Linked DNA regions of Lepisosteus oculatus. The protein of the gene in region 2 purifies or fractionates together with the protein of the main gene of each other region. This does not show direct contact. Links are inferred from orthologs where the notes say so. Each region holds a gene or a part of one and is shown on either strand. Other genes may lie near its edges.

Region 1 (8,257 bases), on a different chromosome or scaffold from region 2:
CATATCTAAATTAGATTATTTTCTATTTCTGGCTCATCTGAGAAAATGCTCCAGTCATCAAATGTGGGTCATAGGTTTCCCTCCACTACTCTGAAACACTGGCTACGGTTATTGTGTGCACTCCTGCCAGGTGTGGTCCTCAAGTACTGTTGTTTAGTTGCTTCTGCTGCTCTTGGGGCTCTGAGAGTTTCAGAGCATGTCTTTTGGAGCTACTGAGGATCACACACAGTCTAATAACTGTTCATTAGTCACCCAAAGTGACAGTGTCACGTTTTCATAATTATACAGCTTTTGCCTAGCAGTATTCACGAGCAACTCCTTTAAGTCCCATAAAAAGTCTATAGATTTTCACAAAGTTTTTCCACAAACCCTTTACATTATCTGCACCCAGAAATTGCTGAAATGAAATTTTGGTCCTGCTTGGTTTCTCTGTTCAGACGTGCGGCTGAGATACAGTAGCACCCTGTAACCTGATCAAAACCAGCAGGGCTGGGCCTGGTCCGTTTAGCAGATGGTCAGTAGGTGGCACTCTTCCCTCTGGGCAATTTGTAATTAGTGATTCAATGTGATGACCAGGGACACCGGGTTGTAGAAAGTGGCACTGGATCTTCTGATGTAATTTTAAACTGTTTTAAAGAGAAGGGATTTTAACTCTGGGGTCCTGGCTAAAATTTCCACTGTCTTATACAATCTGGCTTTCCTGCAGAATCCCCTCAGCTCAAATGGTAAATGAATTGCACAGTTCTGACTGATGTGCTGTGTAGTGGTGCTTCTGGCCCACAGAGGCTACCAGGGCTCTGTTCCTGAGTGGTGGTGGGCGAAGTGGGTCCCCTCCTTCATGCAGTGTGCTGTGGGATCCTTTAGGATGAGAGCTGCTTGTTGCAGCCTGAGCACAGCAGAGGTCTGGAGCCGACAGGGTTTGAAATTTAAATGTCGTTGTGCCCTTCATTCTGTAAGCTGGAAACACTTTGGAGGTTCTGAGGCACAGTTCGCAGTGTCAATCAAAGTATCTTCAGCCACTAAGATATGTCACCAGTGGTTTTCTAAGTGGTCTTCCAGGCTCGTGGTCTTCTCAATATTACAGCCCCTGATCTGGTGGTGCTTGCAGCTCTCGGACCGCAGGTTTGTTCTCCGGCCTGTTCGGAAAGTCCTGTGCTCTCTGAAGCCTTTCACCAGAGCTCCCAGGTGTGCAGTGCTTGCCTGCTCACTGGGTACCTCACACCCTGCTACAGAGACGGCAGACACTTAGATAGAGAGAAGATCAACAGTCAATTATCTGGGAGTGGAATGATTGGCAGCTGCCTCCTCTTCAGCAGATGCTGTTGCAGTGCTATATAAATCCAAGTTTTCAAGTACCATTTCATTTCCACTCCAAACCCAAGTTCAGCGTTTTCAGATTTTGTGAATAGTACTAAGCGGCTCCTCGTGGGATTTAGATACACATTGTTTCCCTCACTTCTTTCCCTCACAAATCTTTTACTGTGCATGAACTGTAGCCTTCTAACACAGCAAGTTAATCATTTCTGACTGGCAAACTGTTAATTACAGGCTAAAAGAGTTGTTTCCTCTCGCCTATTGCAACAGACGCTCCCATTTCGGCAGTTTCGGCTGGAGACAACTTGCAGCCTCACTGACAGTGTTATTGTCCTTTTCATTGCGGCGGGTCACGGAGCAGGTAAAGCTGGGAAGGCAGAGGAAGAGCAGACATCCTCTGGACACAGAGGTGAAAAGGGGAGAGCAGGGATTGCTCCATGTTTTTCTAGAAGAAAACGGCAGGAAAGGGTGGACCAGGGGTAAAAGGGGAGGGGGTGTGGGCACAGTCAGCGCAGCGCCGGGGAGTGTCGACCATGACACAGCAGCCCCCCAAGTCCCTTTCCCCAAGACAGACTTTGAAATCCTGGAATTGGACTGTCTTTTGGGCAGCAGGAGCAACAGGGATCTGGTCTGGGGCCGACCGGAGCACCAGTGGCTACTGGAGTGCAGTGACCAGGGAGGTCTTGCCCTTCATCAGATGGGGCTGGGACGATCAATCTCTGGAGGTGTCTTCTTTCACAGAGGGAACTCAGTCAATGCGTGTGTGGACACAGGGGCGCGGTCTCCTCTTTCCCTGCTCAAAGACCTTTCATGGGCCCACCCACCTGTTGCCCCGCCCAGGCAGTGTCCTCAGATCCACTGTCCCGCAGCCTTCGCCTGCCCGAGGAAGACGTCACGGACTGTCTCCCCATGGTGTCAGAGGGATGGAGAAAACATCTGGTCGTCTTGTTTAGCAGGACACAGGGTAGCCTACACCCTCTCTTGGACTGTTTGGAGCCTGGTTTCGGTTCCCTTCCTGTCCTTTCTAGAAAATGCAGGCTTGACAGCAGGACCTAGCGGCTCACTGTCCATGGGGAGGCCACCAGTTGTCTCTTCCTATGTGGCCCACTCGTGGGTCTGCACCCACTCTTTGACCATTTGGAGTGTGGCTTCGGCACCCCTGCTGTCCTCTGTAGAGGGCACATGCTCTGGCAGCAGGGTCCACAGCTCATGTGAGGTGGGGAGCATTCACAGTTCTGCTGGGCGATAATCTCTATGGTGCTCTGGGAGCAGGGTCCCACAGCCAGTGATCGCATGAGGGCCTCGTCCCAGTGACGTGCTGGGGTGCTGCTGGACATCGTCTTCTGTGGAGCTCTGGCAGCAGGGCCCTGTGGCAAATGGGAGCAGGGCTGGATGTCACCCTCTGTTGCACTAGGCACAAGGGAGCAATCTTGTAAATGCCTTATCTGTGCCAGTCCATTGCTCCCCCCAGCTGCTTTGCTTTGGCTCTGTCTGAGCAGCAGTTGTTCTGCTGTGTTCCAGGTTTCGCCTACAACCCAAGACAGGGCATCCCACTCTTTACACCAATGCAACACAAGCTCTCGTTTCAGCAGCGGCATTACGCAGGCTGGAGATGACTGTCAGACTCACTGACAGTTTTATTGCCCTTTTCATCACAGCGAGGCATGCCACTCACGGAGCAGGTCAGGCTAGAAGGCAGAAAGAGAGACATACTCTGGACGCAGAGGTGGGAAAGAGAAAAAGATCGAATTGCTTCCTGGTTTTACAGGGGGAAATGGTGGGAAAGTGTGAACCTGGAGTGAAAGGGGTCTTGGGGACAGTCCAACGCCAGGGGGTTGCAGATATATACCACATGTTAAAGGCAAACTGCAATCCTGATTTTTTGGACCAGTTATTAAATCTCAGTAACAAAATAAATTAATTGATGTTGTAAAAAACATTTTTATAAATTTCGAATTAAGCCCAAAATTGTGAACTTTGTGAAAGCACTAAATCACCATGTTGTTGCAAACTCGCAATCAAGTTTCCACGGGTTGTGATGTGATGCGGCCCTTTCTGCTCGCTAGTCGATGTAATGACTAATGTAAATCATGTACTGCATACAGATCACGCTGCGCATACCTGGAACTTTAATCTATTTTGTGATGTAAATATGAAATTTTACAGGTTACAGTGTACATTTGACTTTTATTATGGTTTGAAATGCACTCATCAATGCTGATTCTAACCACAAAATATTAAAATAGCTTTGTTATTTAGCTAAGTACCAGTGTTTTCAATTTCATTTTTACAAATAAAATCACATCCAGGCCTCACTGCTGTTGCACAACAATGTCTTAATCAGGTTAGCTCTGATTTTTTATTCCATGACACATTTTTTACACCACCTCCTGAAGTGAAGAAATGATTAGGGGTGTGCTGTATGATGGCAGATTGATAACCTCAGTGCAAGTTTTTGGAATCAGTGTGGCACATCTCTGCTTATATCAGTAGGGCAAAACTTTCCTCTTGGGGGGGCACATTGCTTGTGGGATTTTGATCTACCTCAGATTTATTTCCACGATCAAGCTACATATTATCCTAATTTAATTAATTTAGCATATTACCTAGGTCTTTAGCTGTTGATGATTTGAAGAGATTTAGAAAATCTGTTGGGTTATGGTTCTTAAAACTATAGTAATATACCTATGAACGTCAATAGGAATCCTATTGGTTGCCTAATGGTTGCCTGTCTGGGTGTTACAGGCAACCATTATATCACCAATTTCACATCACGTCAACAGTTAACTTTCAACAACCTCATATCTAATTTGTGGAGGAGTCAGATCCTAACCCAGGAAGCACACACTCACAAAAGGGGTAATCTCAAAGAAGCCAATTAACTTTCCAGTATGCTTTTGGGCTGTGGGAGGAAACCACACAACACCCCAGGAATTGAACTCTGGGCCCCAGCACTACAAAGTAAACCCCTGCACCACTGTGCTACTGTTACCCACAGTTCACAGATTATTTAAAAAAAAATGTCAAATATCCTTCAGCCCTCAAGAACTATTGTTCCCTTCTTTGTATCAGTTGCTTAATTGATCAGGTGCTTGAACAAGTGTTTTTTATCTTTAAATAACAAATTTAGATTGACCGATAATATTTTTCCCTCACAAAAGTTTACAATAGGGCAATCTAATTCTTAATTTATTCCTTGTTTTTTGTTATTCTGTCCAAATTTTTGAATGATCAACACAACGAAGCTAGAGCAACTGATTTAAAATGGGTCTCTCAGAAACAGTCCAGCATTAGATTTCTTGTAGCGTTCTTGAAAATGAAAACACAAGAAATACAAATGGGTACAAGCCATTTGGAACTATTTTGTTATAGCAAGCAGTAGTTAAGAAATCTACAGCTAAGTGAAAATCGGGATTTTAGAAATTGTAAGACTCTCAGAGATACAGAACAAGTTTTGTTTTGTTTCAACACCAAACTTCTCGTTTACAAGGTGCCTTTCACGGCAAACCATCTTTAGACATTGTCTAACACATACATACAATAATAACAGACAGATAGAAAAAAATTCCCTAAAAAGGCAGGACTTTGAGAATGTTATAAACCTTTTAGTAACTAAATATTAAATCATTGATACAGCACAACAATGAATGAGCGACTGACATACAACGCCTCTTGTCTCTGTACTCGAATCTTGCCCTTATGGCTGTTTTAAGGTCTCGCGAGACTCTTCTTCTTCCTCCGTAGAGGAACGGCCGCAGTGACATCTCGCGATGCTTAGCAGTTCAGCCCGGTTGGTGGGACAGTTCCGAAAAGCCGGGCAAGGTTTCTGATCCGCGGCGTCGTGGTGGTGCTCATCTGTCCTGTGGAGTGTGTGTGCGTGTGTTGGGGAGACAGAAAAGAAAAGAGCTGCCGTCAGGGAAATCTTTTTCTACGCATAATCGGTTTCAGGAGCCCCTTCTTCGGATTACCGAGTACGAGGCAGTTGAGGACTCCCGCGGCTGGGCGCTTTCGAGAGAGAAGAGTGGAGGATCCGGAAGGAGAGACAAAGCATGTCCGAGACGGAGAACAACAACGTGGAGCAGGAGCCGCGGATGGAGGCTGAGCCGGAGGGAGAGGAGGTGAGCGGAACAATAGCAGCACGGAGAGGGGCCACTGGGCTGGCCAGCATCTTGACATGGCCAGGTCCGAAGTGCCTGACGTCTTTATAGCGAATGCAGAACTTTTGACTGATTTTACTTTTCGATTTGTTTCTGGTTTTGTTTTTTTTTTGTTTGTGTTGTGGGTTGGTAGTGGGTTCCATTCTTTTTCTTGTTTCTTTTCTGGATTTTCAACCTCGTTGATGTTTCGGTTGAAAAAACTGGGTGTTTTTTTTTTACTTTTTTAGTAAACCGGCGTTGATAGGAAATAAAGGGACGCTTCAGCTGTGCGTGGTCGTGATGGTGTCCTGTTTGAAGTAGAAAAAAACCCAATTGTGATTATTGTGAGGTGCTTCGGTACTCGGCCTGCCTTGGGGATGTACTTGAGCACTAAACAGTTTTCCGGATATCGAGTGAGCCTGGAAATCGGGAGTTTCGAGGAACCCCGTCCGCGTTGATGTGTGTTTTTATTTTTGATTCTCGACTCTTCTGTCGTGAAACGAAGTCCTAAAACGAGGCGTGCGGCAACTTTACGTGGCTCCCGAAAGGAGCGCCTGTGTGATGTTTTGTGAGCGGAGGGACCGGTGATGTGCGTGTGAGGGGACTTCAGCTCCCCAGCCCGTCAGTTTTTGGCCTAGTTGCTGCTCAGGCTGGTTGGTTCCAGTCAGCCGCTTCGCCGACACCACAGCGGCATCGCGGGGAGGGAATCCGCGGAATGAATGAGCAGCGGAGCGGACGAAGGCGTCGAGGACCCCTGCTTGTTTTGTGTCCGTCCGAGTCGGTCTTTCACCCCTGCTTCTTGATACCAGGCGAATAAAGGTTCGAGACGAGCACCTCAGTATTTTCGACCAACTTCTGAAACATTTTTTGGGGGGGTCTGAAGCTTCCCGTTTTTCCCTCTCAGGGCTGCGAAACCATGACGTCACCATCAATACAAACCGCCCACTCCTGTGTGTCTGTGCTCTTCCGCGGCCGAGAGAGCCGCGGGTAACCGGGTTGAAAGCTAGTCAAGAAATCGGCGTCAGCCTGAAGTTTTCCTCTTTCACTTTTCAGCGTGGATTTAACCTCTTGTCCGCCTGCTGACGCAGGTTCCCACTCTGACCGTGTTTTAGACACCTAGTGTCCAAACGTAAAATGTGAGAGTTCGCTTTTGTTCAGTAACTTAGCTCTCATTCGTTAACTGGCATTATTAATACATTCTGGAATAATCACGAATAGGGCTTTGTACATCTGGCAGACGTATTGCACGGGTTACAGATCTAGGCACATTTTCAGCTGTTGCACTTCAGCTACAATAACAAGGATTGGTAAATGTGTTTCAGCCTAGAAGTAAAGTTTCTGTAGCCGTGTACCAGGTCAGCTCTCCATTTTAAAGTTTTTAACATTGTATTTCGATCTGCCTGTCCCGAAGGAGGAAGAAGCATCTGATCATGAGGATGGCAGTCAAGTGGAGACCCCCATCCTAAAACCAAAGGAAGAACAGGAAATGTTTCCCGACTATGAAAAGAAAATGGTAATGTCTTGCCACAACCTTTATTTTTAGTTAGCACTGTCACACCACATAGTCTTGCCTTCAAGAATATCTTTTCAAGATTTTATACTTGAAAAGCCATTTTTTTTAGTTTGATCTGTGAGAGTAATGTCTTAGCCAGCTCCTCTGACTTAACCAGTCAAATAGTTATTTTTGGATGCAGTCCATTATATAAATGTTTTAGGTGATATTTAGATGGTGCATACCTGGCACGTTTAGACATTTTGTCAAGTGGAGGGCACTTGGGTATATCCTGGCCATGTGAATGACAAGTTTAAATTTTTCATAATTCCAGTGATGAAAGTACAGTATTTTTAGATAGTAGTATAAAAGATGCTACTGTGGCAGTGTTCTGATATGGCAACAGGCAAGCGGTGCTAAAGAGGAAAACTCTTTTCTTCTTTTTGTGTTTGCAGAGTTAACAGCAGCTAAACAATGAAAATAAGTGTATGCTGGATTTATTGTTGTTAAGGTTGTGGTTTATAAATACTGACACATGCTGGTGTTTTATTCCCTTCATTTAATGCCTCTTTCGGAAAAGGCGGTGGTTTTTAACTATCCTGGTAGGTTAGGAGTGACCAATGTCTGTATCAAGTCTACCTACTGGGTGTGCTCTAAAGAAAGGTGCAGATTGCAGTTAAGAGCCAGCCATGTTAAGTGGCTGGGTTTACAGAACTGGTTGAAAAGCAGCGGGGTAGGCATAATTTCTTTGCTTACATAATCAACTTTGCTTTCATGTTTATGTTCATTGCAGAAGGGTATTTTAATAAACACCTGTGTAACTTTACGAAGCATCAGGGGAACTTGTTTTCTGGTGAAGCAGAGCTATCAGGCTGGATGCATCGTTTTTGCACATTTTACTGAATACTAAAGCTTCTGAGGGAGATTTTATACTTGCTGCACAGAGACAGTGTGTAAATATTAACAGAGCTGTAACAACATGATCAGTAAAAGCCTTTTTTCTATTAAAGTCACTGCAATATTCTGTTAAGTGTTTTAAGACATCCATCAAAAGACTTAAGTTTAAAAAAAATTGGGTTTAATTCACAGTTAAAAGCATAAAGAATAGCATTCCTTTCATTTAAAAAAAATCAGTGTTTGTTAATTATTTTATTCGTATAGCCTCTTTTGACTTCAAAATTCTCTCAAAGCCCTCCAAATAATGCTCTTGCAGACTTCAAGACAAGATCTTAACTACAATAAAGGTTTGAGGCTTGAGGGTTTTGTTACTATTTACGTGCTAGTTATTGACTACCATGACTACCAGAGCATCAGA
Region 2 (8,085 bases):
AGATGGACAGATCTGCTGTTAACACGAAGCTCCCACACTCACAGAGGATGCACTCAGAGGACTTACACCTTCATGGGAAGCTTTATTTGCAGCTCACACAGGACTGAGCTGGACTCGGGTCCAACAGCAAACAGACAGAGCATAGGGGGAACAAACAAACAGAATTTCATCAACAGAACCAGGAGCCAAAGAAAACAGTCCAGTCCAGCACTGCACAGCACCAAGTATTCTCAACCATCAATTTTATACACCTGGAATGAATAAACAATGACAAGAAATATACATTCTCATTTCTACTGGACTTACAGTGCTCTCAACTCAAATGAACAATACAGTCTTTTTTTTCTAGAATATGTTACAACACGCAGGCAGGGTTTCATGTGGATGTGTGGATTGGCTGTGCACAGATGCAGCAGTCTTGTAATCAGGGAGGTTTCTATAGTATCTGGCTCTTCCCATCTCCCTGCTTTAAGACTGTCGGCACAGCCACAGAAATAACACGGACTATAAAATCTTTTACACCCAAAAAAAAGAAAGACGACTGCACTTTACTGCCACCCAACATCAGCACATCACCGACGAAAAGAGGGGGGCTCACAGACCAAGCTGAATTGTGACAGTGTTATCCCACACAAAGCCATAATAACAAAACAGGAATAATAATCCATCGGTTAATAAATACAGTCCTAGAGGTTGTCACAGAGATCTTTTAATAATACAACTATTTGGATTTGGATTTGGGAAAGAAAAACAAAAGGCCCAGTAGCGGAGTCCAAAATGTGATTAAAGTCCAATTAAGCAATTAATGTTTTGGTCACACAGAATCACTGTAATGACCTGGACTGTAAGGTTGCCTTTACTTGACTTTTGAGTCAAAGACTTACAAACAATCCTGTATTAGTCTAAGAGACTAATTTGGTTCATTGGAAAAACAAAAAGAGAAGACAATAGACCCTCCACGAGCCCCTGCAGTAAAACCGCCCCTCGGTGCAGTGCTGGGCCAGGCCAGCAGGAGGCAGTCTAGTGCACCATGTACTCCTTGCGCTTGTTGAGCTGCACTTGGCAGAAGGACAGACCCCCCACCAGCAGGTAGATGGCAGCAGCGATGAAGCAGTTGTAGCTGACCTGGTCATACAGCCCGTATATCTTCTGAGGAGGATTTTTACTGCATGGGAACAGAGACAAAGCAGGTAAGAAAGAGCGATGCGGGGAGAGATCACAGGAATGACCACTTCACACAAAGCGGGGTGGGTGTGGGGAACAGGCTGCCAAGTTGTGTTACGGGTGCAGAACTCCTAAGTCCTTTCAGAAATGGCTAAACAAGATCCCCAGACCGATTAGCTACCTTAGCAAGCTGGCAAGCAGAGTGAACCGACAGGAGCTCCTTGTCTGCAACTTTATGACCTTACTGTATGCAACTCAAAGCATCTCAAAACAAATGCCTTGATGGTAGATCTCACTGCTTTCCAGGACGTTTTCAAGAATCCATCACCACAAGTCCAATCTGACCCCATCACCTCAATGCTGGACTGTATCTTTGTTTCAAAACGTGCAAAACCAGAGTGATGTTTTGCCAGGACACAGGAGGTTAACTCCTCTTCTCTTTCCAACAGTGCCAAGGGCTCTTTAATTACCAAGCGGACAGATCCCGCATTTAATGTCTCATCTAAAGGTCAGCATCTCCACCACACTAGGTTATCCTACTGAGCCACAGAAAAAAGCGCCACCTACTGGTCCAGCAATTACACTTACAGCAGCAAACCTTCTGTAGTGTCTCCCATTATTGGGTATTGTGCTTAACAGCTCAGTTTAATGAGAGCAGGCTACAAGGCTACTGCTTCCTTCAACTGTCTAACAGATGATGCAATTGTATAACAGGGTATTTGGGACGGGCTAGCTCATCATATTAATCCACTCACTCTAGAAGCATGTCATCTTCAGTGAAGGGCACGTCTTCAATCAGCACTGCAGAGTGGACGTTGAAGAAGATACCCAGCAGCAACTGGTGTGGAGGAGGACGAAAGCAAGACAGCAAGGTTAAACGCACTGGTTTGATCCGCCTATATCTGGAACAGGTACACAATACAAAACACTGCAAACAGCTGCCCAGTGTGTACAAAACACACAACACTGCCCGCCTAGTGACTTCCTAACACTGCAAGTCTCAGCTACCTGTATCCTCCTGCAGGCAGCTGACACTGAGAAAACAGGTCCTTGATTCTACACACTGGTTCAATCCATGAATTGGTTTCATTACTCTGCTCTCCTCCCCACTGAGAGCTGGTGTGTGGTGAGCATACTGGGGCACTATGGCTGCCGTCGCATCATCCAGGTGGGGCTGCACACTGGTGGTGGTGGAGGGGAGTCCCCATTACCTGAAAAGTGCTTTGAGTGGAGTGTCCAGAAAACCGCTATATAAGTGTAAGCTATTATTATTATTATTATTATTATTAATCCTTGGAAAAATGACATGTGGCCATACAGACATCACACACTGACTTGGTGCTTCTCCACTTTACGTGGTTGTCACCAGGCTGAGTTAAAGGTGTAGCCGGTCATCGTCTTGTCAGTGCGGAGCGCTAGTCAATCAGTTTAATTTGTGAGCGGAGAATAAAAAAATGAAAAACTTCAGCGAGCTGCTTTGGGCAATAATACCGACAACATGCAGCACTAAAACGGCCGCCCTCAAGCTCCACACTCCTTATCATCTTCAGATAACTGTGCAAACAGCCACTATCTTCCAAATTAGCATTGATCAATTAAAGACATCTGTGTACGTACTGAAATACTTCTAAGTACTCTGAGAGAGATGGAAAGTACTGAGGCCTGTGAGTGTTCACACTATAATTAGGTCCTCTGGGACGCCTTTCTGAAACACTTCTTCCTCCCCACTGGAGACCGTGCCACAGCTCCCAAGCCAGAAAGAGGGAACTTGAAACTGGACTCCACGGTCTCCGTAACACATTCACCCGGCCGTTTATCTTTGTGCAAAGGTTTTATGTAACAACGTGCAAAACGATAAAAAAAACCCCACAGAAACAGGCAGACAGACACAGATGGATGTTTCAGAAGCTGCTCATCTCGCAGTCACTATCACAAGATCGTGGTGTCACTGAACCCGTGACCCTGTCCCTAACACCGGTGGGACTAGAAGTAACAGACGACGGGATAAAGAAATGACTTGAACAATTGCGATTGATTCAAGTGCCATGCAATTAGCTAGCGTACTGAACGTCACCGCTCCCTGTCGCGTCTTAATCGTAGCTAAATGATGCTGAATACTGAAACACGTATTGGTAAGGATAACCTCCGCGGAGCTCACGACCTTCGATGGCTTCTGGATTTCCCAAAGGGAAGTGTTAATTACTGTGCAATTCACGAAACGAAACGAATACAAAACGTTTATATATCACATCTGTCAGAGCAGCTAGGAGACAGGCGTACAGAAACCGAAGTATAAACAGCATTTTCTCTACTATGAATAATAATAATAATAATAATAATAAAATGTAATTTTACCAGCATAATGACTCCCCAGATGCTGAGTACTATTCCGCAGGCGGCCAGTTTGGGACCGCAAAATAAAAGGGACGCCATTGCCTTATTGAAGAGACAGATGTCCGCTTCTTATTTGTTTATTTTGCGCTCTTTTATACTCCCTTCAAGTCCGGAATCCGCTTTTCATCGGCTATACTTTCAAACTGCCTTCTGTCGAAAGACAGTCGCCCGTCTGAATAAAAACAGACGGACCGCTGTGACCTCCTCTCAGCTGATCTGCACGGGGTATTCGGCCGTTTCCGGAGACACTCGGCTCCCACCGGCAGGACAGCTACCACTGTCTGAAAAGAGGGGTATAAAGGTAAGAAATATTCTTCGAGAACCCCTCAGGAACATAGTCTTTATGGAGAGATGAGGAAATAAATATTATACTTATTAGGCTGCAGCTTTTTCCAAACTTACTCAAATGTTAGGTATTATAGTGGATACCTTTCTTTACGGGACCATAAAGATACTTCCCTCCTCTTAGAAGGCTCCAAATTAGACGTGTCAATTTATGAAGCATAGGGTCACTATAACACATATTATGCAAACAGTTTCCTTGATGAAAAGGGAGCTAATACATAACAGGTTTAAAAACTACATATTAATGCTATATTAACTATTTTCAAAATAGATAGGATTATTTTACCCTTGGAGGACTGAAATCCTACTTCCCCCTCCTATTTTTCTGAATATGGCACAGCCCGGAGCGGTCATGTGACGGCAAAATCCGTCACCAGCCTGGGGGGGGGGGGCTGTGACGTCAGGAGGCCGACTCCGAGAACTGGCGCAAAATGGCTGAAACAAGTACGAACGTGCATGTTCCCAAAATAGTTTTTTTTTAACAAAGACAGATAGTAAATACAATCCTGCTACAAAGCACAGGGGCTTGCCCATCATCACCTTACGTATACTTTTAGACACAGCGCTAATAGGGCGTCAGTGGTTTAGAACAAGTATTCCCAAAACATAAAATATTATTAATGTTACGAAACTTCAAAAAGTATTATAAAAACATTTATTATTTACACTATTTGTAAAGTAAGTCTAAGATTGTGCCAACACGAATAATGCATTACGACATGGTGATTGACAACAATTTAAATGCACACACAATCGCGCCCAAAAACACAGAACGGTAAAATGGATACCGTGATTGACTTATTGACCATCAATATGCGAAGAATGGACAAATCACGGATCAGGCTGGGAGAAATTCTAACAACCACTTATAACAGTCTGAAGCCGCTGCTCTCTAATGCAGTTAAAATGCGTCTTGACTGACGAAGCCTGTGTCTAATAGAGTAAGGGCGGGGCGGGACTCCGCAGAATGAGTGTCACGCAGCCTTGGCCAATCAGCAGCCGAGAACCGCGGTTGTGGACCAATAGAAGCGCAAGCCGCGCGGGTGGCTGGGGTTTCCTGCTCGCGCTCTAGTTGCTGTCTTTTTATTTTAATTTGAGCAAAATTGGCAGAAATGGGCTCACTAGATGGGCTAGGAAGTCCGCTTTTTTCGTTGGCATGATCAAAATGGTTGTTTTCACCCCCGGGGGAGCGTTATACAGGTTTCCGAGGTCTGTACGTCTGTCATAATGATAGGAGTGAAGGAGGCCTGGGTATTGTTTTGTACTGAATGGACACAGAATATAGTTTAACCTGAAGCGCGATGCGACTTTCATGCCAGTTCTTTCCTGTAACGTCCACGTTGTAGAAAATAAAGTGTTTAATTTGTGCTTTGACATGCAGTACGGGGGGGGAAATACAGTGCACTTGCATTTGTAAAGCACAACGTTTTTAATTTCAGAAAAGAAAGCAACAGCAACATCGTTCTGAAGTTACACTGGCAGAGTGTATTTTGCTTCTAAGCTTAGTCAATGTAGTATCTGTTTGATTGTGTTTTGCATTGGAGGGCTCCCAGCATGTGCCACCGCAGTTAGATGATTTAGACCCTCTGCAGACCCCGGAGTGTTTTTATTTGTCCTTTCCAAGTATTCGGTGGGAAAAAATGACTTCAGCGTCGACCAAGGTAGGTGCTCTGAGAACATACCACCTTCTATTGCCCGTTTCCTTCAGGGGTATTCTTTTCAAAGCGCGTTTTCTTTAACGGAACGTCTCAAAAGCACAGTTTATTTAGCCGAAAACGAAAAATTGTGATGTGTTATCAGAATCTCTTTAGGGTGAATCTCGAGGCATTGGTAAATATTTTTTTAACTTATGCCGAGCCTTATTCTAATTCAGTTGGCATTTTACTGATGAAATACGGGTTACGTAGCTTGTACAGTGATAGAAGAGAAGTCCAGCGCCTTGGATTTAAACTCTGTCTTCCCGTCAGGAGTCTAGGGTCCTATAACCACAGCTCCGCGCTGCTAAATAGAGTAATGTATCACGGCGTTGTTGTAATCGTCTTCAAACGAGTCGGGAGTAAGCGGCTGGAGAAAAACGATACTTTTTATCCACATGACCCTGTCGGTTACTTCGGTTCTGTACTTTGAATGGCTGTTCAGGTGATGTCGCACTCCTTTTAAAACCCGAAAACAGGTCCCCACCCGGTTTCTTCTTTGAGGTTCTGATGCACGTCTGGCGTATTTACACGCGGGGTTCGGTGAGAAGTTGGCGAACTTCAGTTGTTGCTCGGAGGAGAGATGCGCAGTTCCCGGTGTCGGCCGCGCGGTGTCGCTGGTGGATCGTGGCGCCTCGTCCTTCCCTCTCCCTCCTCGTCCTTTCTTCCTTTATTGTACCTTGACGAGGTGTCGAGGCTGCGATGAGCTGGACGGTTCTTTATAGCTTCAAGATGAGCCCAGTGCGGTTTTGACAGCCGAACCCAAGGTGCTCTAGTACCCCTGAAGATATATATTTTAAATATTCTATTTTTTTTTTGTACAACATAGGTTCGTTTTCCCAAAGCAGTTAACTCCAGACTCCAAGTTGAAAAATCACGCGGGAAACAACGGCTGCCTGGTTCACTAGCTGAATGCATTTTTCGTGTTTCACTGTATATGAAGGCTGAACGGGCTGTAAAGATCTCTCGAGGTTGTTGCTGGTGATGCTGTTAACTCCTAGGGTGGCTTTCTCTGATAACTGGACATGCCTCGTCCAGTTGGACAGCCCTCGGCTCTGCTTCTCTTGTCATTCCAATGATGTAGTAGCTTGAAATATTTTTTTCCTCTTTTTTTTAACAATTGTGTGGAAAGGGTTGGAAACCAATTGTCTAACTCTGTAATAAGGCTCGTCTAACTCTGTAATAAGCTGGACGTTCCCATCAGTTTTGGGTGGCTTGCACAGACCGGTGCTTCCTAATGAACCTGAAGGTGTCAAAGTTCAGAGGGAGCTGTTGGCTTCACGGGTCAGTCCGGTTTGGGGCACCTGCCCGTGGAAGAATTTGCACTGCCTTTCTGTGTGCCTGATGGTCCGTCTTTTGCAGGTGGGGGAGATCTTCTCCGCAGCAGGTGCTGCCTTCACCAAACTGGGGGAGTTGACTATGCAGCTGCACCCGGTGGCTGACTCCAGTCCGGCTGGGTGAGTCGCCATGACGCCATTGTACACAGGGCTGACTCCGGCCTCGGCCTCCCCATCCTGTACCGAGGATGCTGCTGCCGCCACCCTGTCTTCCAGTGTCCGCTCCAGAGCTCGGCTCGTGTGGGTAAATGATCTGCTTCATTCCCCAGCTCTCCTTCAGATTGACCATATAAGGCAGTGTGGGCCGCTCCAGTTCACCAGAGCTTGGAGTCCTGCGGAGTTTATAGGTAGTATTCACTTAGCATGTGGTTAGGACTTAAGAAAACAGCTCAGCTGACTAATTATCCATTTAGCTCGCTTAAGTTATGACCAAAGGTGTAATGAAAACCAGCCGCCCTTGGGAGCTGAGGGTGTCCATCTCTGGAATGCGTGTGTAGTTGCAGGCTGCTTTCTGTGCATCCCCAGTCCACTTTAAGACCGTTAAGTGACGAGCTGCCACACACTGAACTCTCCTCATAAGTGGTTTTCTCTTGAGTCTGACGGAATCATTCTGCCGTGTCCAGCTGTTTTGAAGGCTCCCCCCCTTCCTTCATCGCCGACGGTGAGCTCTTCCTGCTCGCTGTGGTGGCTTTAAGCCATGTGTTGTGCCAGTTATTTCCCCCTGCGGGGCTCACATGTGCCCTCCCCCCCATGCAAATCCCTTTTAACCTCTAATGGATGGGTCTGTGCGTGCTGGGCTGTGAGCTTTCTGCTCAGCTGCTGGTATGTCTTGGAAGGGCAATAGATCTTCAGCCCAGCATAATCGGTGGGTGTGGGGTGTGCCGAGCCGAGCCGAGGTGCGTGAAGGCCCCCCCTCATTCCACTGTCTTCATTAGAGCTCGTCGGAAAACCCAGCGAGAGGGGCTGCCCCATAGTAAGGCATCTGTGCAGAAAACGAAAGCCTGCAAGGGATTCTGTTTTGTTTCAAAACAAACAAACAAACAAACAAACAAACAAACCAACAGGTGGTGGGCAGATGAGGAAGGGGGTTGTATACCGAAACGACTGGTGTGGAGATACTTAAGGAAGTTGAAGGGATTTTCAACTTTTGA
Region 3 (7,824 bases), on a different chromosome or scaffold from region 2:
ATCAATATTATTTTAATTAATGGCCTATTCAGTAGTATTTTAATTATCATAGTGTATGAGATAGGGTTACCTTTATCTTTTAACCATACTATGTACTGTAGTGCATTATGCAACAATAAAGGGGTGAACTAAGTTACAGTATACAGGTATGCAAATTTGGCTGTTTGTGATGGTTCTCTGTACCATACTCTCACAAATGTTAAGACCATCCTGTATACAGGAATATGAGAGGGGTAAAATAAAAATGTTGCAATCTCTCATGACAATGAATTCCAAAATATTCTATTATATTAATATATTAGTATTAGCTATTATATTAATATTCTACTTTGGAACTTACATGGGTTAGGTTATCTTATGTTAGGTTACGTAAGCTCCAGACTATTTAATTCAAACATTTTGTAAATATGATAGTAATTTAAAATTAATTCCTTTTCAGTGTAACTAATTATAATGGCAATTTCGCCATAACATCATTAATTCAGAAATTGCCCATTTTTTCTAGTTCAATTATCTCCTGTAGTTCATACCATCTCATCAGCCAGAATTCCATTTATTCCATTTTCATATAGGGATATCATCCAGTTCAGGCCTCGAATTTGGTAATCCCTCAGTGCTCCATTTTTAACATCTGGAAAACAAAATATTTGAAATAACAATAAAATCTGAGCATTTAGCAAAGCATTACAATTAGAAATGTCTTAATACAAAATCTATTACTGGATACGCCTGCTAAATATAGCCATTAAAATGGTAGCTTTTTTATCTGTAAGCATCATGAAATTGAATGTATTGGCCAAGCTATAAAAGATCATGACAGCTCAAGTAAAATTACTTAATTCAATATTTTTTTGTGCCTTACAAGATGGTGATTCTTCAAATCTGACCAGGACGTTTGATGTCTTTCGGCTCTCTGACAGCAACTCCTCATCCTCTTCTTGCTCAGTGCGTCTATGACGATTACTGAAATTTACACACACAAAAAAAAACCATTTAATATTTAATATATATGTATTCCCAGGCAATTTAAAGTGAAAAATAAAACAACATCAAATATTGGTTTAATGGGAAGAACTGTATTTCATTACCATTTAAATAATACAGACGGAGACCACAGTGGTACACTGCACTCATACACACAGTGGAATCGTGATACAAGTAAGCACTGAAATATAAATGCAGATGGTACTAATGTCTGTATTAAGTGGTACAAATTATTTCAAATAACAATCTTATTGATGACTTACTCCCCCACGGAGAGCAGATTTTGTTTTTCATCCTTCTTCATGCGAGGTCTCCCCAGCTTCACTTTCAGTGGAGATGTAGGAGACTTCTGTGCTGCTGGCTGAATAAAATGTGCAAAGAGCTCTGTCTGCTTCAATAAGAATTCAAATCTGTTAGCCCGATCTGTTTTCTGAAGGAAAAAGAGAGAAGAAAAAAATACTTTAAATCCTGTGTGTAGTTTGTAATATCTGAAATATACCTGAAGTATATTTCTGCATGTGTTTCTTATTTGCACGTAAGTTAAAGTTTACTTGTTTACTATTACCAGTTTAAAACAAAAGCAGTGCATTAAACCAAAATTTGAAACTTACAATGAGAGAGGAACCATTAATCTTTTCTTTTGAACATTTCACCAACACAAGTGAAATATGTTCTGTACATGTTCAGTAGAGTTCCCATGTCTCATCATTTATTATTGTAATCTTAGAAACTAAATCTGAATAAATTACAATGCAATTGCAATTTTGATCTATAACAGCTAACATCAAATCTAGAATTGAAATACATGTTTCTTTTGAATGGTATTATAGAACAGGTCACACAATTAAGGGTGAAAATTGTTAATAATATATCAGACAGCAAAATAATAATGCATGATACAGTATGTGCATTGAATTACTTACCCTCTTTTCCTCATATTCAGGGTCAACGTCTGCCTCTACTTTTGTTACCAGTTTGGGGGGAGGTTTGAGTTGAAAAGGTGGATCCTCTTTCTAAAGGCACAGAGTACATCAAATGATAAATGTAATGATTACTGTATGTAAATGACATTTTGTCACTTTGACTATTTTAGTTGCTTTGTTTGTGTATTGGATATAAGTTTTAAAATTTAAAATAAACTGCACATCTTTCAATATAAATGAAGTAATGTACTATTAATTTAGTAATAATACCCTAAGTATGAGTAGCATGGTTAGATGGTGAAGTTATTTATACCAAAACTGTATATGGACCTATATGTTTATGAATAATAGTATTATTTTATCAATGTATATTATATTAATTGGAGTTTTTTAGAATAGTAAAATAAGTCTCAGTTTTTCTCTGTATACAGCATACAGTATATGGCTTTTTCATGTTTCCTAAGTTTATTAAATAAATATAGTTGTCTCATTCTGTAATCAAAACATCCGAAACAGCATATTTTGTGTGTCTGAATTACCATTGGGGGCATTCTTCAGTACATTATTACATTAGTGAATTTTGACTGTTATGAAAGGGGAAACTTGCTATTAAGTCTGTATTTATAATGTACAGAACAATTACTTAAAACTGGACTGTGTCTGTTAATGTAACAGGTATAATAATTATACAACACAACACCTATTCGGTTTCCTATTCGACAGCAGGCTTTTTCTCTCGCAGTGCCATTTTACTGTATTCTTGAGGTACTGTATTAGGTACCAGCTTCTCTGCAAGACGCAGTGAGTGTCGTTTTCAATTTTCACGCCCACCTGTATTTCTTTTGATCGGTACCTGGGCTACTATACTAACTGTAGGGGTTAGGTGGTCAGTCATGCTTTGTTTTAATATAATAGGTTGTTTTTGTATCTTCTAAAATACAGACTGACATCTGTCTGCAGATGTTGCGTGCTTCCTTCCCGCCATATTCCCCAAATGCAAAACGAAGCAAAAAAAAAAAACAGCAAACTTCGGTTCTGCAATGTCTACTTCTTTTACACAGAAGCTTACTGAAAAATACTGCACATTATCCTTCCCTCACCTCCTCCGAATCAGGTTCAGGCTCCCGGGATGTTGACGGAATCTCTTCGTCTGACATTGCTCCTATACTTGTTTAATCTTGACTCAATTTTGATTTTTACTGTAAGTTAAAATAATAAAATACGTCACCATCTGACTGTACATTTCGTAGCATCCGCCCCCTTATACATATAATTAAATCTCGCGGAGTTATGGCAACGTAACACCGCGAGAAGTTAGTCCGGTTTTGACTAGAAAATTCGGACAGAAAGGAAATATATTTCCAGACGTTGAGTTGGATTTCGATTCTAAAGGCTTAGCCTAGTATTTTAAAAAATGCACACACATAATGTCATCTATTTTAAAACACAGAACTGGTGTTGATACTGTACTTGTGATCTTTCAAATGAGCTTGCGCCCTGTGTGATTTTACTTTTTAAGCGCTAGTTATTTGTATTTTATTTCTTGGAGTCGTAGTTGTTTTGATACAACAAATCTTAATACAATATATCTAAAGAGCTATGCCAAGATGTGTCAAATGCCAAAATAGTAAACGTAGTATACATATTAGTGGAAAGGGAGAAACTGAAGCTGTTACCGAATTAATGTGAGAATATTCGGTTTGTTCAATAAATATGTCCTACTGGAAGAACGAAGTAGCAGTGATCCGTACCACTGCAGTGTCGAGATATTTTGAATTTAAAGCAGGAGTATAATAAAAAAAACTCGTACACAACGACGTTTAATCAGTTAAGAATTATTGAAAAAATAACAGGTCCTTTAACATACTCTCGCCCAGTCTCATTAATATATTTTATTAATATTGACATAGAATTAGCACTTAATGCTAATAATTTTTGTTTTTGTTGTATTCAATGTGTGTTAGATTCTTTTAGATTTGTATTAGCTCTGTTATTATACTATTGGATTATTTGACACCTTTGTAATGTTCTTGCAGTGATCATTGTACCGACATTTAAATAGTACTTGCATTTATTCCTGTAAATCGCCCTGGATAAGGTCATACGTCTATCGAATAATAATTTCACAGTTTTCTTAGCGCAGGAAAAATGTTAAACAGACCACTAGATGTCACAAAAGCCTAATGTATTGAAGTTAGAAATTTGAAATCTGCTGTAATCTATGCAGGTCTGAAGTTTAGTGAGAATCATTTATGTCACCTTTGCTTTAATCAAAACCTTAAGCAAATAGTGTACTGTAGTTGTCCAGACCACACTAAAACCTTAAGGCTTCTACTACTTACTATCTTTAGTTTCCTCACCATTTTTCATGAGCCATATACAGTACATCAGCTGCTCAGTTTTCTAACCCCTTTATCCAATATAGGGTTGTGGGAGAGCCAGAGCCTTTCCCAGCAACCAACAGGCACAAAGCAGGATACACCCTGGACAGGATGTCAATTCATCGCAGGGCACACACAGACACACACTAATTTCAAGGCCAGTTCTCCCAGAAGCCAAAAATCTTACCAGTATATGACTTTTGCCTGTGGGAGTAAACCAGAGCACATAGTGAAAGCCTGCATGACCATGAGGTGAACATAAAATCTTCTCACAGATAGCATCCCACGTCCAGAATTTAACCCAGGTCCCCACTGCTGTGATGCAACAATACTAACCACTGCGCTACTGCACCACCCAAGCCATACTGTATACAGTTACATAAAAAATATGATTATCTATTACATACTGTATGATGAAGTCATCATAGCCAAGGTCTGAGATCATGTGTAAATAACGAAGCCAAGTAGTTATATATCAATAAGTCTTACTTTTATTATATACTGTATAAGGGTATGAGAAGTGAACTAGAGGATCATTTAAATGGATTCTACATGAAAATCCCCATGGGTCAAAAGATAGGTCTTGCCTATTTAACTTGTTTAAATTCTTTTAACAAGCAACAGCAGTAACAAATACAACCATAGCACATAATATACATTTAGGGTTTTAGAAAGCTTTTAATAAAGTTCTTCATAAAGGATTAGTTCTGAATTTGCAGGCATTAGGTATTTAAGATGATAGATGGATTTGGATTAATTACTGGTTAATAAAGTAGATAGAAAACAAAGTACAGATAAGGTATAAATGCTAAAGAGCATAATGATCTTAGTGGAGTGCCACAGAGATCTGTATTGGGACCGCTGATCATTTTAAGTTTCATCAATAAACTAGATTCTGGTATAGTTAGTAAACTATTAACTTTCGCAGATTATACCAAATTAGGAGGATTAGTAAACATACAATAGAAGAAGTAAATCCTGTGGCCTCCCAGGAGCTTGTAGTGATGTGGTGCTGTCAGCCTAACATCTCTATCATGGGCTGTGTTGTCTTCGACATGTTAAGTGTTAAAAGAGCATTGGCTCAACAGTGGGTTGTTGGAGGACCCTTGGGTGGTGGGTATGGTAGCTGAGTCTTGAAGAGCACACAACTGGCTGGTCCAAATTGGGTGGCTGTGAGGCTAACAGCAACAAAATAGGCTAGATTGAACAATTGGCCAATTTTTAATATTTTTTTTTCCGAGTTAGATGTTCAGATAGAAGGGATAGTGTAAATGAGATGAAGTGGGGAACTGCCTCAATGCAAGCTGGAAAGGAACAAGTTGAAGTTAATACCATGATAAGGAGAAGCAAAAACACAATACTTTAGTCACTGCTAACATGCTAATTTAGAATTTAGAACATGCTTATTACTGTACATACTTTTATGAATATACAATATATAATGGAATACTTGGCAAAAGTATTCATTTCCCTATGAAATGTCCATATTATGTTGCCATCTGAGATGGAATTGATCACACTTTCAAATATTAATTTATATTAAAAATTTCCATCATACTGATAAAGCTAATACATTTTTATATATAAAATGTATATATATATACATGTTATATATAAATATGTTAGATTTTCAAAGAACATTAGACAATTTTCAGTTGAATCCCTGGGCTGTGGCAACCCCAAATCATTTTTGGCGTAATTGATTACTTTGAAACATCTCAAAATTAAACAAGTGGCCTCTAACAAGCATTATGTAATCAAAGTGGTTCAGCTTGGTTAAATTAAATAAATGTATCTGTCTGTGTAAGCCTCTTCAGTTAGAAATTGAATTTTAAGCCACAACGCATACAGTGATACTTCAAATCAACCATGAAGACCAAGGAACCTTTAAAACACATCAGTGATAAAATGGTAATGAAGCACACATCAGAAGAAGGTTACAAAAAAGTTTAAAAGTCATTGATCATCATTAAGAAGTGGAATGTGTATCATAGTCTTCAGATCAGGTAGCTCTTCCAAACTGAAGAGGCAGTCAAGCAGGGAACTGGTTAGGGATACCATTGTGAAGTCAAAAGTAACTATGAAAGTTGTGCAGATTTCTGATATGCAGGTCAGTGTTCATACATGAAGAAAAGTGATTACTGAAAAAACGTCAACAAAACATGTACAGTAAATGATACTACAGACATGTAGTTGAAGAATTTGGGCTCAGATGAAACAAAACCTTAGATGGAATTTGGTCAAAATGCATAGTGTTACCATAGTATGTCGTCTGCTGTAAGTTCTAAAACAGCATATCACCCAGTCAGCACCATCCCAACTGTCCAGCAGGGTCATGGTAGCATTAGATTGTGGAGATGATCAGAGACTAGGACGTTTTTCGGGGGGAAGACAGTTCAAGCTCCTGGTAAATTCTAGAAGAAAAAAAAGAATCCAAGCCAGGGTAAAAAAAAAAACACCTCTTTTCAGCAGGACAGTGAATCAAAGCACTAAGTTACACTGAAGAGGATTGGTTTGAATTGAAGCCTACAGAGGAAGGGTAAATTTAAGAATAGCCCAAAAACCCTAGCCAATATCTCTTTGGAGGTAGAAGGAAACTTGAACACCTGCTGGAACCCTACATAAATATGGGAAGAACATGATATCATTGGGGGAAGCACAGTTATATATATTCTATAAATTCATAAATAAGATTATTTTATACAGTATATACTGTACAGGATTTTGCATTGTTTGAGTTATTCAAGTCTATTGTAGTCTGAACTGTAGTTTATGTTAGGTATGCGAGATCTGGTTTTAAGAACGGACCAAGTTATGCAAATTAACATCCAAGTCATTTTATGTACAGCACTTAAGTTGTATTAAAATTGACAAATGTTAGGCCACCAGACTACAGTACAGTAGTCTACAGTACAGTACATTCCACAGAACCCAAGTGAAAACAATATATTTAGCCTTATCAGTTATAAACCTCTCTACTAAAGCACTGTATTGCACAAAGCACATAGACTGCATATTTGCAACAAAGATATATATTTAGTAAACACTCACACCAAACATTAAGTCAAAGCATTGGAGATATACAAATTGGTCTTGGTCAACCAAGAATTCAGCTAAAAGGATCAGATATACACACAGACAAATACATTAATTCCAGTGGTTCACTGTTGGATGTTCGTGCAGGAGAATTCAATCTTTCGTAGGTTTTTTTTTAAAACTTTAATAGGAATTGCTTCACAAAGGAGTTATTTTCACTATTGTGTGTATTGAAGTATCTTTTTATGTTAATCTTAAAATGTTCACTGGTTATAAGCGGCTAAACGAGCTGCTCACATAATCAACTATTCTCTCTACATCTTTGGCAGCAAGACAGACAGGTCGCTGTGAAGTGTTCCTGAATTTCTTTCAATAATTCAATTTTTGTTCTACACTGTTCAATTTTTATTCATTTTTGTATTTCTTTTCGTGACGTTATCCACAGTCTGGTCAATAGAAAGAAAGAACCCATGGTAACTTTTCTGCAGGGTCAAATTAAA

Evidence for each region. The genes of interacting proteins can lie anywhere in the genome.
Region 1: the proteins of chromatin complexes subunit BAP18 (region 2) and smarca5 purify together in Homo sapiens (affinity purification with mass spectrometry; 5 studies listed by BioGRID and IntAct, with this or other methods). This does not show direct contact. The link is inferred for Lepisosteus oculatus from reciprocal best matches to the Homo sapiens genes BACC1 and SMARCA5.
Region 3: the proteins of chromatin complexes subunit BAP18 (region 2) and smarca1 purify together in Homo sapiens (affinity purification with mass spectrometry; 4 studies listed by BioGRID and IntAct, with this or other methods). This does not show direct contact. The link is inferred for Lepisosteus oculatus from reciprocal best matches to the Homo sapiens genes BACC1 and SMARCA1.

The regions. Positions count from the first base shown.
Region 1 is NC_090696.1:27,528,662-27,536,918, reverse strand, and holds the start of smarca5 (SWI/SNF-related matrix-associated actin-dependent regulator of chromatin subfamily A member 5), read left to right. Parts: upstream 1-5,086; 5' UTR 5,087-5,363; coding exon 5,364-5,432; intron 5,433-6,861; coding exon 6,862-6,963; intron 6,964-8,257. UniProt on the Homo sapiens protein: ATPase that possesses intrinsic ATP-dependent nucleosome-remodeling activity.
Region 2 is NC_090698.1:6,956,788-6,964,872, forward strand, and holds the start of chromatin complexes subunit BAP18, read left to right. Parts: upstream 1-4,912; 5' UTR 4,913-5,112; exon of another isoform or gene 5,113-5,418; 5' UTR 5,419-5,543; coding exon 5,544-5,564; intron 5,565-6,959; coding exon 6,960-7,054; intron 7,055-8,085. Other genes in the region: ribonuclease kappa-B, read right to left, coding at 1,021-1,165, 1,920-2,002, 3,520-3,597. UniProt on the Homo sapiens protein: Component of chromatin complexes such as the MLL1/MLL and NURF complexes.
Region 3 is NC_090703.1:42,610,055-42,617,878, forward strand, and holds the start of smarca1 (probable global transcription activator SNF2L1), read right to left. Parts: upstream 3,172-7,824; 5' UTR 3,065-3,171; coding exon 3,008-3,064; intron 1,998-3,007; coding exon 1,908-1,997; intron 1,415-1,907; coding exon 1,248-1,414; intron 964-1,247; coding exon 863-963; intron 632-862; coding exon 531-631; intron 1-530.